Linked DNA regions of Arabidopsis thaliana. The protein of the gene in region 1 interacts with the protein of each later gene in a pairwise test. Each region holds a gene or a part of one and is shown on either strand. Other genes may lie near its edges. The genes, in order: AT2G12646 and BBX30.

Region 1 (7,634 bases):
ATATCAAGGCAGTCATTAGCAGAAGATGGAAAAGGGTTAAAGAGCTCACCACCAGCATTCCCTTCCTCCTGAAACATTGTAGAGTTTGCAGATTGTAAGAGAGCATCATGGTTAGGATCAATATCTGCAAGATCAGCTTCAGCATCCTCAACCGGACCATTGTTGTCATCTTGGTTTACAGCATCCTGGTTTTGGACATTAACAGCAACATGTTCCAAACCCTCCAAATCTTCATCATCATTAATCTCTCTAATAACCACTCCTTGATTACGCCCTTGCGGAGCCTGGTCATCCTCATCGTCATCATCATCTTGTTCTTCTCCCCCATTCACGATAACACAGGCCCCTGAGTCATGGGTCAGCATCCCACAAACCTCAGAAAAGCCTCGAAGCCTTTCATATCTGAACCGGAAAAGTGTGTTAACACCCGCAGTGAATTGGAACTTCCTCTGAAACCTTACGGAAATAGTGATGTCCCAATGTACGAGAACACGAACAAAATCCACCCGCGCCACAGCCTCTACATCAAAATCAATTTTCAGCACTTGTCCCAGGGCCCGTCCGATGTGCTCGACGACGCCACAGTTGAGAAATTGGAATGGAATGCCTCTGATTTGGGTCCAGAAAGGAATGAAATTGAGGAGCGGCAACAAGGGCTCCCATCGTTGAAGAATCAGCATTTGATCATTGAAAGCCCACAGACCTCGACACAAAACTGATTCCAAGGATTCTTCATTTGGGAAAATGAATTGAAAATCCCGACCCTCCACTATGCGGCTGTGAACAAGTCCGGTTTTACCCCAGATTCGCGGCATAGAAGCGATGATTGAACGGAGGTTTTGTCGCCTTGGAATCACAGGACGCCCGAAAAAGGATGAAACGGTTTTCTGCGACAGCTTGGTTCACAATGTCTTCAGGTAAAGCAATGGGTTCGTCATTCACACCCAAATTGAGGTCTTGGACAGCCCGACGCAAATTGTCACCAATTTTTGAGAGATTTTGATAGAAGCGAAGAGGATAGAAATTTGCAGAGATGATATTGAAAATTGTAGAGATTTGTCGAATTGCAGATCTGCCAATAAATAGGCACATAAACGCAACCGTTGATGAAGCATCACGCCAGATCGTGGATCCGAACGTGGATGAAAACCAGAGAAGTGGTGGAAAAGAAACCACCCACTACGCCGGCGAAAGTGATGGAAACCGTCGTCCAACCGACGAGAAGAAGATGATAAAGTAACCGTCCCAAAATCGCATTTTGTGTCGCCATTTAATAAATTATTTTATCTATAAAACAAGATGTTACAAATGTATTTTTGTTGTTGGTAATAGTTGGGACAGTAATTAATAAGTATGAAATACACCGTGAAATAAATATATATACTTTTTTGTTATAAACTTATGACATTGGTGTATTATTTATTTTTTATGTTTTATTGGTAGAAACTTATGTTTGAATTTGATTACACTCCTGGTAGATTTTTTATAACTAAATCGTATTTAAGATTGTATAATTGTGTTTTGATTGTTAATTTTAAGATTTTATCTGTGATATATTGTCATGTATTAACCTCGATCCAAACCCGTCTTACCATATAATCCCGTCCCTTAAAAATAAACATCATATTCTTATTTTTCTTTTTAATAATACTTTTATTTTAAAAATATATAATTCAATATACACTGCAGGATTAATAATTTCTTCTTTTTAAAAAACCGATTAATTGTTGTATATAATACTTTTTGTTGTTATTTATTATAAAATTATGATTGATTGTGTATGGCTTCTTATTGGTTAGTTTTCAATATTTTTGTCCATTATTATTTTATCTTTTATATGGTTTTCCATATTATTTGGTTTTGTAAAAACATTTTTGCTTTGTTTTTGCATCATTTTATTATAACCCGACCCACAATAAATGAGCAAATGTTTCTTAATCGATTAAATTTTTTTTAATGATTTAATTTTGTTATATTTTAGATTATACATAAAAAATATATTTCATTGATTGAGTAATATATATCTGTTTAAAAACTTTTGAATCACAATATATCCAGAAACAATCTAAAATTTTATTAACAATAAATATTTTATTATAATTCAAAATAATATAAATATAAGATCAAATAAAAGTGAAATGAGAATCATATATTTATGTTTGTAGAGAAGTTTTAGGAAATTAGCTCAAATGTTTTATATTAGCATTAAACATCATATTTGATTTTCTTATCCAAAAATAAAAAGTTAAGATATAGTAAATAAAAAAAAACATATCCATACAAATGAGCAAATATGTACTTTAAAATTGTTAAGTAGATGTTGACGGACATGTTGAGGAATATATTTTTGATATGATGATTCATTTAAAAAAAAGAAATATTTTTAAATTTTTATGGAATTTAAAGTTTATATTTGTATTTATTTAAAATAAAAAATAAGAAAATATAATAAAATCATTATTGTTAATTTTACAGTTAAATGAGTTTATATATTTTTTATTTGGTGGAAGATTCTGATTGGTTAGAGAAAAAGGAGGTGAATAAAAGAATTCACCTCTATAAGTAAACCCAAATATTTTTCAAAAATTATAAAACAAGTTAAAAAAATTTGTATCAAACATATTTTACCCAAAACGGAAACAAAAGTTAAAATTATACAAATCATTGCATGTTTAATTATAATTGGCGGTTGTTTTATGCAGAATTGAAATTTTCAACAAAATTTAGTAGAAGATGTAAGATTTGTAAGATAAACTTTAATGTAAATTGCAAGGTAGTATTCCTTAATTTGATTAAACAGCTAATATATAAACATACATTAATACGGTGACGTATAAAATATAATTATCTGCCATAACAAGAAGTACCATTTTAATTGTTTTTTTTTTTACCGGTACCATTTAGACGTTTATGACATTTAAATAGAACAAGTTGGCGTAAGACAGAAGAATCTTTTTCTTGATGTTTTCTTCTTGGGTATTGTAATTAATAAATTACTACCATTATGATTAACCATATGCTCTGTACATTTCTACTCCTATTAGACTGAAATATTATATAATAAAGCATAAAATAAGTTTTTAGTACTAATACCACGACATCAAGAATTTGACGGTGTATAAGTTTCCACGAATCTAAAAATTGGTTCAACCAAAATATATGAGTTTTTAGTAGATAACATTTCTATCGGTAATTAAAGGGTGTAAGGATTGCATTACGAAAATTTGTCGCGTTCATTTTTATCTTTAGCCCAAGTAGGTTGCATTGCATAGCTTCTACTTGGAACACTACTTATTGTAATGTATTACTAGGCAATAATTTGACTAGTCAATCCATATCCATTGTTTATTTAATCTATTATGTCTAAATTTAAGAATCACTAACCTTATATAAATATCTACAACAAGCCTATGTAACTATTTTCTAACAAAGCATACATTACTATTCTATTCACAATGCTTGGACCGATGATACTTAATAGTTTATACTAGTTTTGTATCTTCCTCAATTGGTTAATGAACACCAATATGAGTCTTAACACATCTATCCTTCTCTCTTGTATTTGGTAGATCATAAGAGGAAGAAATAAGGAATTAAAATTGGTGATGGCTACTAGAGACTCTTCTTCACGGAGGGTTTAACCTAATTAAGCTCTTAAGCCAAGGAGATGACCCAATAAATATATGTTTAAAGTAGGAGACACGGAAACAGCTCCCACGTTCCTCACTTTCTCTCTCTTTTTCTTCCCTCTATCTCTCATCTCACCAACACTAATAAACAACAACCAAGTTTATATGATATTTAAAATGTGTAAAAGAGTTATATCTCCGAGGAATAATCAAATATAAGTTTTTTTTTTCTCTCTTTCTCTCTCCCTTGTGATCCTCCATAAATCCTATCATCAAGTACTCCCCTAAAGAATCCTTTTTCTCTTCCTAATATTACTCTTTGTAGTGAGTAGTGGCCAAAAGTTTCCATCTCCCAAAGCTGACTTTCAGTTGAGTCCTCATGGTAGGTTACTACTTCTTCAATTCTATACCATCTTAAGTAGTGAAATTACCTCAATCATCGTACCGAATTCCTTATATTTGTACCCTTTATCCTCATCTTGGCTCCTTGGTACTTAATTATAGATTTAATGGTGGATGTAGGAAACAGTTGAATTATGGTATGAAGTTTTATTTACTTATTTAAGATTGTTTATGAGATAAATATTTTAGAGATTTTGTAAATCATTTGGTAGGGAATTCAGAAACCGGCATGGTTGGATGCGCTATACGCAGAGAAGTTCTTCGTGGGATGTCCATACCATGAGACGGCGAAGAAGAACGAGAGGAACGTGTGTTGTCTTGATTGTTGCACCAGTCTCTGCCCTCACTGTGTACCCTCTCATAGATTCCATAGACTCCTTCAAGTTCGCCGTTATGTGTATCACGACGTTGTTCGGCTTGAAGATCTTCAGAAACTCATCGACTGCTCTAACGTTCAAGTAAGTAATCTATTATACATATATGTATTATCTCATATCTATATATGTATATAAATGGATTGGGTGTTGAATTGTGGATAGGCTTATACAATAAATAGTGCAAAAGTGGTGTTCATCAAGAAGAGACCACAAAATAGACAATTCAAAGGAGCTGGCAACTATTGCACTTCTTGTGACCGAAGTCTTCAAGAACCTTATATCCATTGCTCCTTGGGTTGTAAGGTTATTTCATCTTAACTATATATTACTTCTACATAATATTTGACTCAATTCTACTTGACTATATGATTCGCACTTAGCATATATATAAAATAATTAAATTATGTGATAGTCTAAACTTTATAGATGATTCGTTTCTATGATAGAAACACATGTTCCCCTTTTAACTCGTCCACAAATAGAAATACGAATACATCAACAGGATACTACAACAAGTATACTACCAAATACCCTGATTTTTGTTTTTCAAACGTAAAACATTTTTTATTTTACTTTTGGTTAAAATATTCACACTTTTTTTTTAGTTATCTAACCTGGCTGTCCTTTAAAATGTTTTCAACCCGTAAAGTTTGTTAGTTTCCGCAGATGAGAATCTCAAGAAAAAAAAAAGGATTTATTAAATAACCCGTATATGGCTCGATTTTGAAATCTTGTCCTTCTGAACTAATGTATTTAACAAAAAAAAAAACATGAAGAAATTCTATAAAGGGGAGGCTAACTTTTTTAATAAATAAGTCTATCATTGACCTTGCCATTGGAACTTGGAACTATGTAAATTTGGTGCATAAATACTGTAAATACTCCCATATCATTTGAGCTAGTGGTTTGGCCCTAAGTGTTTTAAGAAACCACCACACTTTCAAATCTTTTCAATGTTGCACTTTGTAATAAATATATCATGTTCTCAGAATAACATCTAAGCTTTTTGAGCATGTAGTAATCTATGTGATTATATAAAAGGTTTTGGTTTATATACATGTAGGTGGACTTTGTGATGAAACGTTACAGGGACATAACCCCATTCCTCAAGCCATGCCACACTCTAACCCTAGGTCCTGACTACATCATCCCACAAGACTTACTGACAGATGATGAAGTGGCGGCCTACGAGACTCCTCGATCAACTGTGGTAGACGGCGATGAGTCCATGAGCTGGTCCTCAGCTTCCTCGGATAACAACAATGCGGGTGCGGCGGCTGCTTATGCCGCAACCACCACCCATGTCGTGAGGAAAAAAAGGACTGGTTTTTGCCTTTGCGCTAAATCGGCTAATAGTTATAAAGAAGTTTCGGAGGATCCTGACGATATTTCTGCTTGCATCAATCGGCGAAAAGGCGTTCCTCAACGATCTCCTCTCTGTTAACGTACTCTTTTCTTCTTTGTTTTTGTTTTCTAATCTTCTTTATTAGTTTCTTTTCACCATATAGTCTTATATGTTACATGTATGGATTCTTGTCGTGCGGTCTCTCTAATAAAGTTTATAATCAGTTTTTTATTTTATTTTATTTTGCTTACGTAGATATTAGTTTAGCATACCTTATAAATTCATAAGAAAAAAATTATCTTATCGCATAATAATATGTTTCTTCTACTCTGGTATCCTCAATATCCCTAAAAGGCCTCAGCCAAGTATTTCTTTTGTCACTTAATATATATCTAACCTAGGTTGAAGTCAATGTAATTTGTCTTTGACATATGAAATTGTACATTTTCGGCTTTCATAGCTTAGATTATCGTTTCAGATTAAATAATATGGAGAATCTGAAATATGAAATTAGATTTGTTTTGGACAGCTCTGATGGTGACTCACGTGGCTCCTAATTCCGAGCTGTGGGATCTTTCATGTTGTTCTAATATTGTTTTTTCATAAGAGCTAATTTTTTTCTACTCATTTTATATATATAAAATACTAAAACTTGAACCCACGAGATTCTCAAAACAATATTATAAATATATACATATATATTTTAAATTGATATTTATTTTTATATTTGTAATTTATGTTAAATATAATAAATATAACTAATTCTGAAAAAATCAGACAGAATCCTATCAATATTGTGAAATAAATTAAGTATTGATTCGTAACTTTCTTATAAACAAGATGATAATAGAAACACAGAGTCTTAATGGTTTTACGCACTCCATTTTTCGATCCGGGATATATATGGGAGGAGACAAAGGTGAAGCTAAGCGAGCGGTCCCATACGCAGGCACATCAATAATAGATGTGAGAGATATAAACAGAGAGGTAGATATACACTACAAGCTTTCACTGGGCATGAAAATGTCGGTGTGGTTCGGTTTCAAAATGCCTTGGAGGAAAAAAAAACCTATGTTCATATCCCTCTATGTATAACATAGTAGTATTCATGAAAATACATATTGGAGATGTCCATATCTCCCGCTCTCTAAACCAAGAAGTCAAAGTTATAACACAAAGACTGCCTGGAATAAGAGTACTTGAGGATAGGATGGGGGATAAAGTCCAAATTTATCTAGATGTTAGACACAATAAAAGAGATGGATTTAGTTTCTTCATTTTATTTCCATCCAGGACAATCTTTTTCTTTATCGATATAACACAAGAAAAGTCATTGGCAAAATGCCAATCCTGAGGTACATTACCACAAGAAATGCTTAAGTTTACGTATTGTTAAGGTTTCATATACATATACTCTACTACTTTTAAGGCGAGTCGCAAGTACAACGAGGGTGATCTCTCGTGGTCTAGTATTCTGACTTGATTGTATAGTTTGCCTAATTTTGTAAAGAACCAAAGGGTGTGCAAAACAACTGCAACCAACCAAATTAAACCAAAACAGAAGTAAAATGAATTTCTTAATTGTGTGGTTTCACTATTATAAAATCTGAAAACAAACCCACAACCGAACCAAAACTGTTTTTTTTTTATGTGTGTCCAAACAAAAATGTTTTCCTAATTAAAATTCGTACTTTTAAGAAAACAAAAACTTTGCGGTTCAAAAATAAATTTCTCTTTTATTAATCAAAAAAAAAAAACTATATTTAAGCCAAGGTCTCACGTATAAAACCCTCCTAAATAAATAAATGGAAACTTTACAACGGGAAAATATCAAAAAGCGCAAATTTTTAAATTTAGGACGACAAAATGAACTTTCAAAAC
Region 2 (6,130 bases), on another chromosome or scaffold:
TATGAACGAAAATGTTTCTCTTTGCCAAGGATGTCAGTGGACCGCTAGTAACTGCACTGGTTTAGGACACAGACTTCAGAGTCTGAACCCTTACTCTGATTGTCCTTCTCCATCAGATTTCGGCAAGATCTGGTCTTCAACTTTAGAACCTTCTGTCACAAGTTTGGTCTCTCCATTTTCTGATACCCTGCTCCAGGAATTAGACGATTGGAATGGTTCATCAACTTCCGTGGTTACACAAACTCAGAACCTTAAAGACTATTCTTCTTTCTTTCCTATGGAATCTAATCTTCCAAAAGTGATAGAAGAGGTGACGTGTTGTTTAAGTAATATATCAAAATGTTTCATTTATGATAAAGAAGAATGTTTTTCATTTATATTCCGTTCTATATGCAGGAATGTTCTGGTTTGGATCTATGCGAAGGGATAAACTTAGATGATGCGCCGTTGAATTTCAACGCAAGCAATGATATAATCGGATGTTCATCACTTGACAATACCAAATGTTACGAGTACGAGGATTCTTTTAAGGAAGAGAATAACATTGGCCTTCCTTCATTACTGCTTCCTACTTTATCCGGGAACGTTGTACCGAACATGTCACTTTCGATGTCTAACCTCACAGGAGAAAGCAATGCGACTGATTACCAAGATTGCGGAATTTCACCAGGGTTTCTCATAGGAGATTCGCCATGGGAATCGAATGTTGAAGTTAGTTTTAATCCAAAATTAAGGGATGAGGCTAAAAAGAGATACAAACAAAAGAAATCAAAGCGCATGTAAGTTTTTGAGACACATAATCAGAGTCATTATCATGCTTTTAAAACATAATCTCATTGATATTTGTGGTACCAATTTCTTCTAGGTTTGGGAAGCAAATAAGATATGCATCACGCAAAGCCAGAGCTGATACGAGAAAACGGGTCAAAGGGAGATTTGTAAAATCTGGAGAAACTTTTGAGTATGATCCGTCACTGGTGATGTGAACTAGTGAATCTTCACTGCGGAACTAAAGAATAATCTGACTCCATCCACGGGATTAACAGTTTCTTGTCGGAGAAGTAACAAAAAAAAAACATAAAATTCTCTTCTTGAGAAAGTATACAAGATCAAACTACAAAGACTTAAAATCATCGCAAAGGTGATTCCAAAATGGAGATTAAAAAAAAAAAAAACTGAAAGTTGCTCTTTTTACTAGAGAATTTCCACTGTTTTTTGATGCAACCACAAAACCTACCGGTCATACAGGCATTAATTAGGCATACAGCTACGAGACGATCAGACAAAATCAGAAACCAAAAAACAAAACAAGAGTCGTTGACTCTTTCCTACTTATAGCTCCTTAATCTCAATTACATGTTAATCATAGAAAAATATATCTTCTTTGTGTTTTGGACCACTCTCCACCTTCCATTTCACTTGATTGTAATTTGTAACGTTGTATTGTTTTCCTAGTTAAGAAAAATAAAGCCAAAGAATAAAGGCAGATTATGTTTGCCATAGGAAGATTTGTTCTTGATTTCTTATAGCTTACTATTGGGACCGCATTATTTTACTATTAAATCAATATGTTTTCTAGGTGTTCATATATTACTTTTAAGCTTTAGAATGAAAATATACATTCTTAGAACATTTCCAGAGAAAAAACCCTACCAATATTTAATCTTAATTACGCGAAAAACAAAACATAAAATCAGAGAAACACAAAGGGAATTTTGTGATCACTACTATGTTCTTCAATCCTTGCTATCATCCTTATCTCCGGTAAAACAACATTAAAATTATCACCGACAAGACATCGACGAGTTAGCTTCCGACAGGTCGTGCAGATCACGCGCCGGAGATGTCTCCGAGCTAGAAAATTAGCAGAATGGACCCATCGATCGCATTTCCTACAAAGGAAAGCTGCGTCTGCCTCACAATACACGGTGGCGTTCTCGCCGCAAAGCTCACAGCTTACCGGAGCTTTGTGACTCTCCGTGCATAGTCTTTGGCATCCTCCATTGTCGCTTCTTCTCTCTTCTTCTTTCTCAAACCCTCTACACATCTTTACTCTTTCTTTGTCTCTCTTGTGTTCAAGATTTAGGTTTATATAGGAATGATTGTTATTTAAAGCAAATGGATATTATGAAATTGTCATTAAACTGGTTGTACACGTGGAAAAATATTGACCTATTGGTTTGATGTGAGTGTCCCTAGAGGACCAAATTGTCAATAATTTAGTTATTTTCCCTCCACCAGACGATCTCTCGTCCTCATGTTTGATACACAAGTTTCGAGTAGTTGACTAGTATGACTCGCTCATTGTCACATATCACAATCACGTTCTAGAATGAATCATGAATCATAGCATTTTTGTGGTCTATAAAAAGGGAGTATATAATAATAGTATATGAATTTATTAGTGATTATTCATTAAACTACTGTGCAAGTTTTTGGTTTGTTTTAAAAAGATAATATATGAACGAGAAATTGTGTAACATACTATCATTTGTTTTCAATCATGTTTTCACTTAGATTATAATATTTCTTTTTTTTTTAAAACTATTTCTGTTCGTTTTTATAAATTTATGAGCAGTCATAACATCTACCAAAGAAATGTACCTTTTTCTTAATCTGAATTGATACAAGAGTCAAGAAAATCTACGAGTGTGGAATGAAGCGTTGAAGAAGATGAAGAAAGAGAGATACATTCAATTTAATGTAATTTAGGTGACTCATGATGGCCATGGGTGCAGTGCAGCCAATTACTCTAAATTTTACTATTAACTAGTTACTCGTTTAGTCTAGAAAAATTCATCGCCGAAGAAGTGGTTAGAGAATCAATGTCCCACTGATTACAATTATTAAAGATTATGTGACTATGTGAGCATTCAGAAATATATTGAATATCGGGTCGGGACAGTCTCTACGTTATTGGGTGTCTTCGTGTCATTGTGTGTGTGGTGGTTAACTATTTTAACTTTATATTTTATTACGAGTTTGCTCGCAAAAGGAAAAAAAAAGGAACTTCACTTGCATGGTTCATGATTAAAGTAATTTCTTTTAACGATTAAAATAATTAATTTCTTATTTTCTAGGAGACGTACATCCTCCGAAACTGTCAAAGTTGAATATCCCCTAATGGTTGCAGCGGTTAATGCCGTCAAATCTCTTTGTAGACTGAGCTGAATTTTTATTTACTATTTATAAATTGTGTATTGTAAGCAGAGATTTTTTTCTTAAAAAGTTTGTTGTGAACTAGCTACGAACCGCTTTAACATACAAATAGAGTTGGTCTGCGACGCGACAGTTTATTGTCTGCAGTAAAAATAGAACATACTAAACCGTTGATGAATATGTCCATCTCGACTATTATCACCATTTAAACTCGAAATGGTAACGTATACATAACAAATTTATGATATACTGATAAAATTATCGTTGATAATTAGTTGGTAAACACTTAGTTAATTCATCGTTAATTTAATGACGTTTAAATGATATATTTAATGATGATTCGACCAAATTTATCATCAGAATGACCAAAAAATTTCACGAATAAAAACTTTATGCGTTTCACAGTTTATGTTTTAGGTTTTGAATGAATGCAATGAAAAAAGTGAACTAAACCGCTAACGAAACATATCACTTTATTTTTGAAGCAGACAACAAACAACCACAGACCAAGTTTTTTTATATGTAAAAGCAGTACATAGTTAGTCCGATGCAGACTTGTTCTATTTTCTCAATCCATACTACTACGGATTATAGCTTATGAATGGTAAACAAAAAACGGTTTAAATCGTAAAAGGATTTGTCCGTCCTAACCACCGCAACTATTCGAAACTTCTCACTCTTTGAATTCTAATTTTAACTAATTAACCCTTAACTGTTAAATTACATTCGAGAAATATTCTTTATAGGTTCTATACTTCCAATATAGTTAGCTAATATCATCAAAAGAAGAAGTCGACGTGCGTGGCATCCACTCGCGGACGACTTTTCCTTCAACCCTTTACCTTTCGCAAAACCTAGATCTACGCCGCCTTTGTTTCTCCGGTCATCGGTGCTCTTCGCCGTGACCGGGAGAGGCCCCCCAGTGGCTCCACTCAGTGGTTTGGCTTCCTTCTCGTCGGCGATTTGACGAGTTAGCGTTTCGGATCTAGAGATTCTGCGATCTGTGCGCTTTACTCCCGCTTAGTTTTGGAAGTCGTTTGTGTCCCTGTCTCCTCGCATTACTCCGGTTTGTTTGGAGGCTCTGTTTGTGTGTTGCTGTTTTAGGTGTAGCTTGTAGTGCTGAGGTCTCAGCTCCGGCGATTCTGATCCTCTCTTTTAGTTTGCACCGGGGAAGTTGGTCTCTTTTTGGTGCTTTGTGTTGTGGCTGGTTGTTAGAGCTGGCTTCTCTAGCTGCTTGCAAGCTTCCTCTTTCCATTTCCCAAGCCAAAGGTGGTTACTTTGTTTGTGGACTGGTTTTAGTCCGAGACTAGTTTTGCCTCTGTAGGTTCTGGTGAGTTTCGTCTAGGATGGATTTGAGGGCTACGCTTGACCATGGGTTTGTGGACGGCCCGTCGCTGCCTATACCATCTCCGTGCATTTCCATGGCATGTCTCTCTTGAGTCCTCTTTGTTGCGTTCAAGTTTATCTGTCTCCTCTTGTCACTTATGTTATTACCTAAGCTCAACCACATCAGATTTGTGTCTATGTGTAATCTTGCGAAGATTTTGTTGAAGTCTCTGTTTTGCTCTTTGCGATTGGTGGTGTTAGTATGGCTCTTTGTGGTTAAGATGTTGCAAGATTCTAAGCTTCCGTTTCCAAGTGGGACTCGTTAGAGTGAGTAAGCATTGCCTAACACTTTTGGCTCGGCAATTCCGGAGCTCCCTGATGTGCTCGGATTCCCGTTGAAAGGGCTGCCATCTTGTTTTGGGGGTTTCGTGAGCTTCACTTATTTGTCTTCGTTGGGTTTCCTCTCCTAGCTCACTTTAGGGATTCATCTTATCTTGTTCCCAATCAACTTCTTTAACAAGAATCGAGGATTAGGTTCAAGAATGTTGTATGCTTCCATGCTTTTTATCCTTTTTTTGCCATGGAACCATGATTTGGTTACCCTTTATTGTGTAACCGAAATTTTCATTGTGATAATGAATATTTACATTCTTAGCAAAAAAAAAAAATATAGTTAGCTAAGTTGACAAATGAGTTTTAGTATCCAAATCCGTATGTTATTGGGCTTGACATATTGAGCCCAAATGAGTTTATATCAGCTAAATAATTTAATGGGCCGAGTATAATATCCAAATCCCTCCAACTAAAACTCATATGTCAAGCCCATAACCATAAAATATGATACACATGACACAACACAACACCTAACCTCGGTCTCATCAAGTAGGTCCGAAAGCTAGATCCGGACCGAAACTACCCGAAAACCCGACCTGTAAACCCGAATGACCAAGTCTATTCACTGAAAGTGACTGCTTCGTTGTGCTACTAGCCTACTACTTTCGAAACTTTAACCGTCGTCGAATCTGCAGAGAAGAAGAATTCAAAAGAGGAAAGTTAACAACAAAATGAACCAAACGAGACGTAAGAGACGACCTGATTCATCTCTCTCTAGACTCGATTCTCTTTCGCCGGAAATGCTCTTTCCGGCCAAATCTCCGTCGCTAACTTCTTCTCGCATCAGAAACATCTTCTTATTACTCATCTTTTGTTTCATCATCTACATCATCTTCTCCTACGGCACCAATTTCCGCCGTGAACAGATTTCATCAATCGCTCGATCGTTATCTGTGTTCTCCACTCGTCGCCGTCACTTACTCTTCTCGATCGCCGCTTCTCACGACTCTTGGCTCCGTCGTAGCTCGTACGTTCGTCTCTGGTACTCTCCTGAATCTACACGCGCCGTCGTGTTTCTCGATCGCGGTGGATTGGAGTCCGATCTAACTCTTCCTCCTGTGATTGTCTCTAAAGACGTTTCTAGGTTTCCTTATAATTTCCCTGGTGGTCTCCGATCGGCGATTCGTGTGGCTCGTGTTGTTAAAGAGACGGTTGATAGAGGAGATAAAGATGTGCGGTGGTTTGTTTTCGGTGATGATGATACTGTCTTCTTTGTAGATAATTTGGTGACGGTTTTATCTAAGTATGATCA

The links.
Region 2: the proteins of AT2G12646 (region 1) and BBX30 interact in binary tests that used the Arabidopsis thaliana proteins (3 or more experiments, as listed by UniProt).

The regions. Positions count from the first base shown.
Region 1 is NC_003071.7:5,165,397-5,173,030, reverse strand, and holds AT2G12646 (PLATZ transcription factor family protein), read left to right. Parts: upstream 1-3,727; 5' UTR 3,728-4,008; coding exon 4,009-4,011; exon of another isoform or gene 4,012-4,165; coding exon of another isoform or gene 4,166-4,168; intron 4,169-4,243; coding exon 4,244-4,489; intron 4,490-4,570; coding exon 4,571-4,711; intron 4,712-5,471; coding exon 5,472-5,852; 3' UTR 5,853-6,047; downstream 6,048-7,634. UniProt on the Arabidopsis thaliana protein: Probable transcription factor that plays a central role in mediating RGF1 hormone peptide signaling leading to the production of reactive oxygen species (ROS) in roots to modulate meristem size and root growth, probably via oxidative post-translational modification of the transcription factor PLETHORA (e.g.
Region 2 is NC_003075.7:8,704,798-8,710,927, reverse strand, and holds BBX30 (B-box type zinc finger family protein), read right to left. Parts: upstream 2,088-6,130; 5' UTR 2,048-2,087; coding exon 1,694-2,047; 3' UTR 1,446-1,693; downstream 1-1,445. Other genes in the region: BBX9 (B-box type zinc finger protein with CCT domain-containing protein), read left to right, coding at 1-310, 397-779, 866-986; AT4G15245 (uncharacterized protein), read right to left, coding at 3,880-4,160, 4,222-4,414; AT4G15240 (glycosyltransferase (DUF604)), read left to right, coding at 5,550-6,130. UniProt on the Arabidopsis thaliana protein: Developmental regulator acting by forming heterodimeric complexes, that sequester CO and CO-like (COL) proteins into non-functional complexes. Engages CO and the transcriptional repressor TPL in a tripartite complex.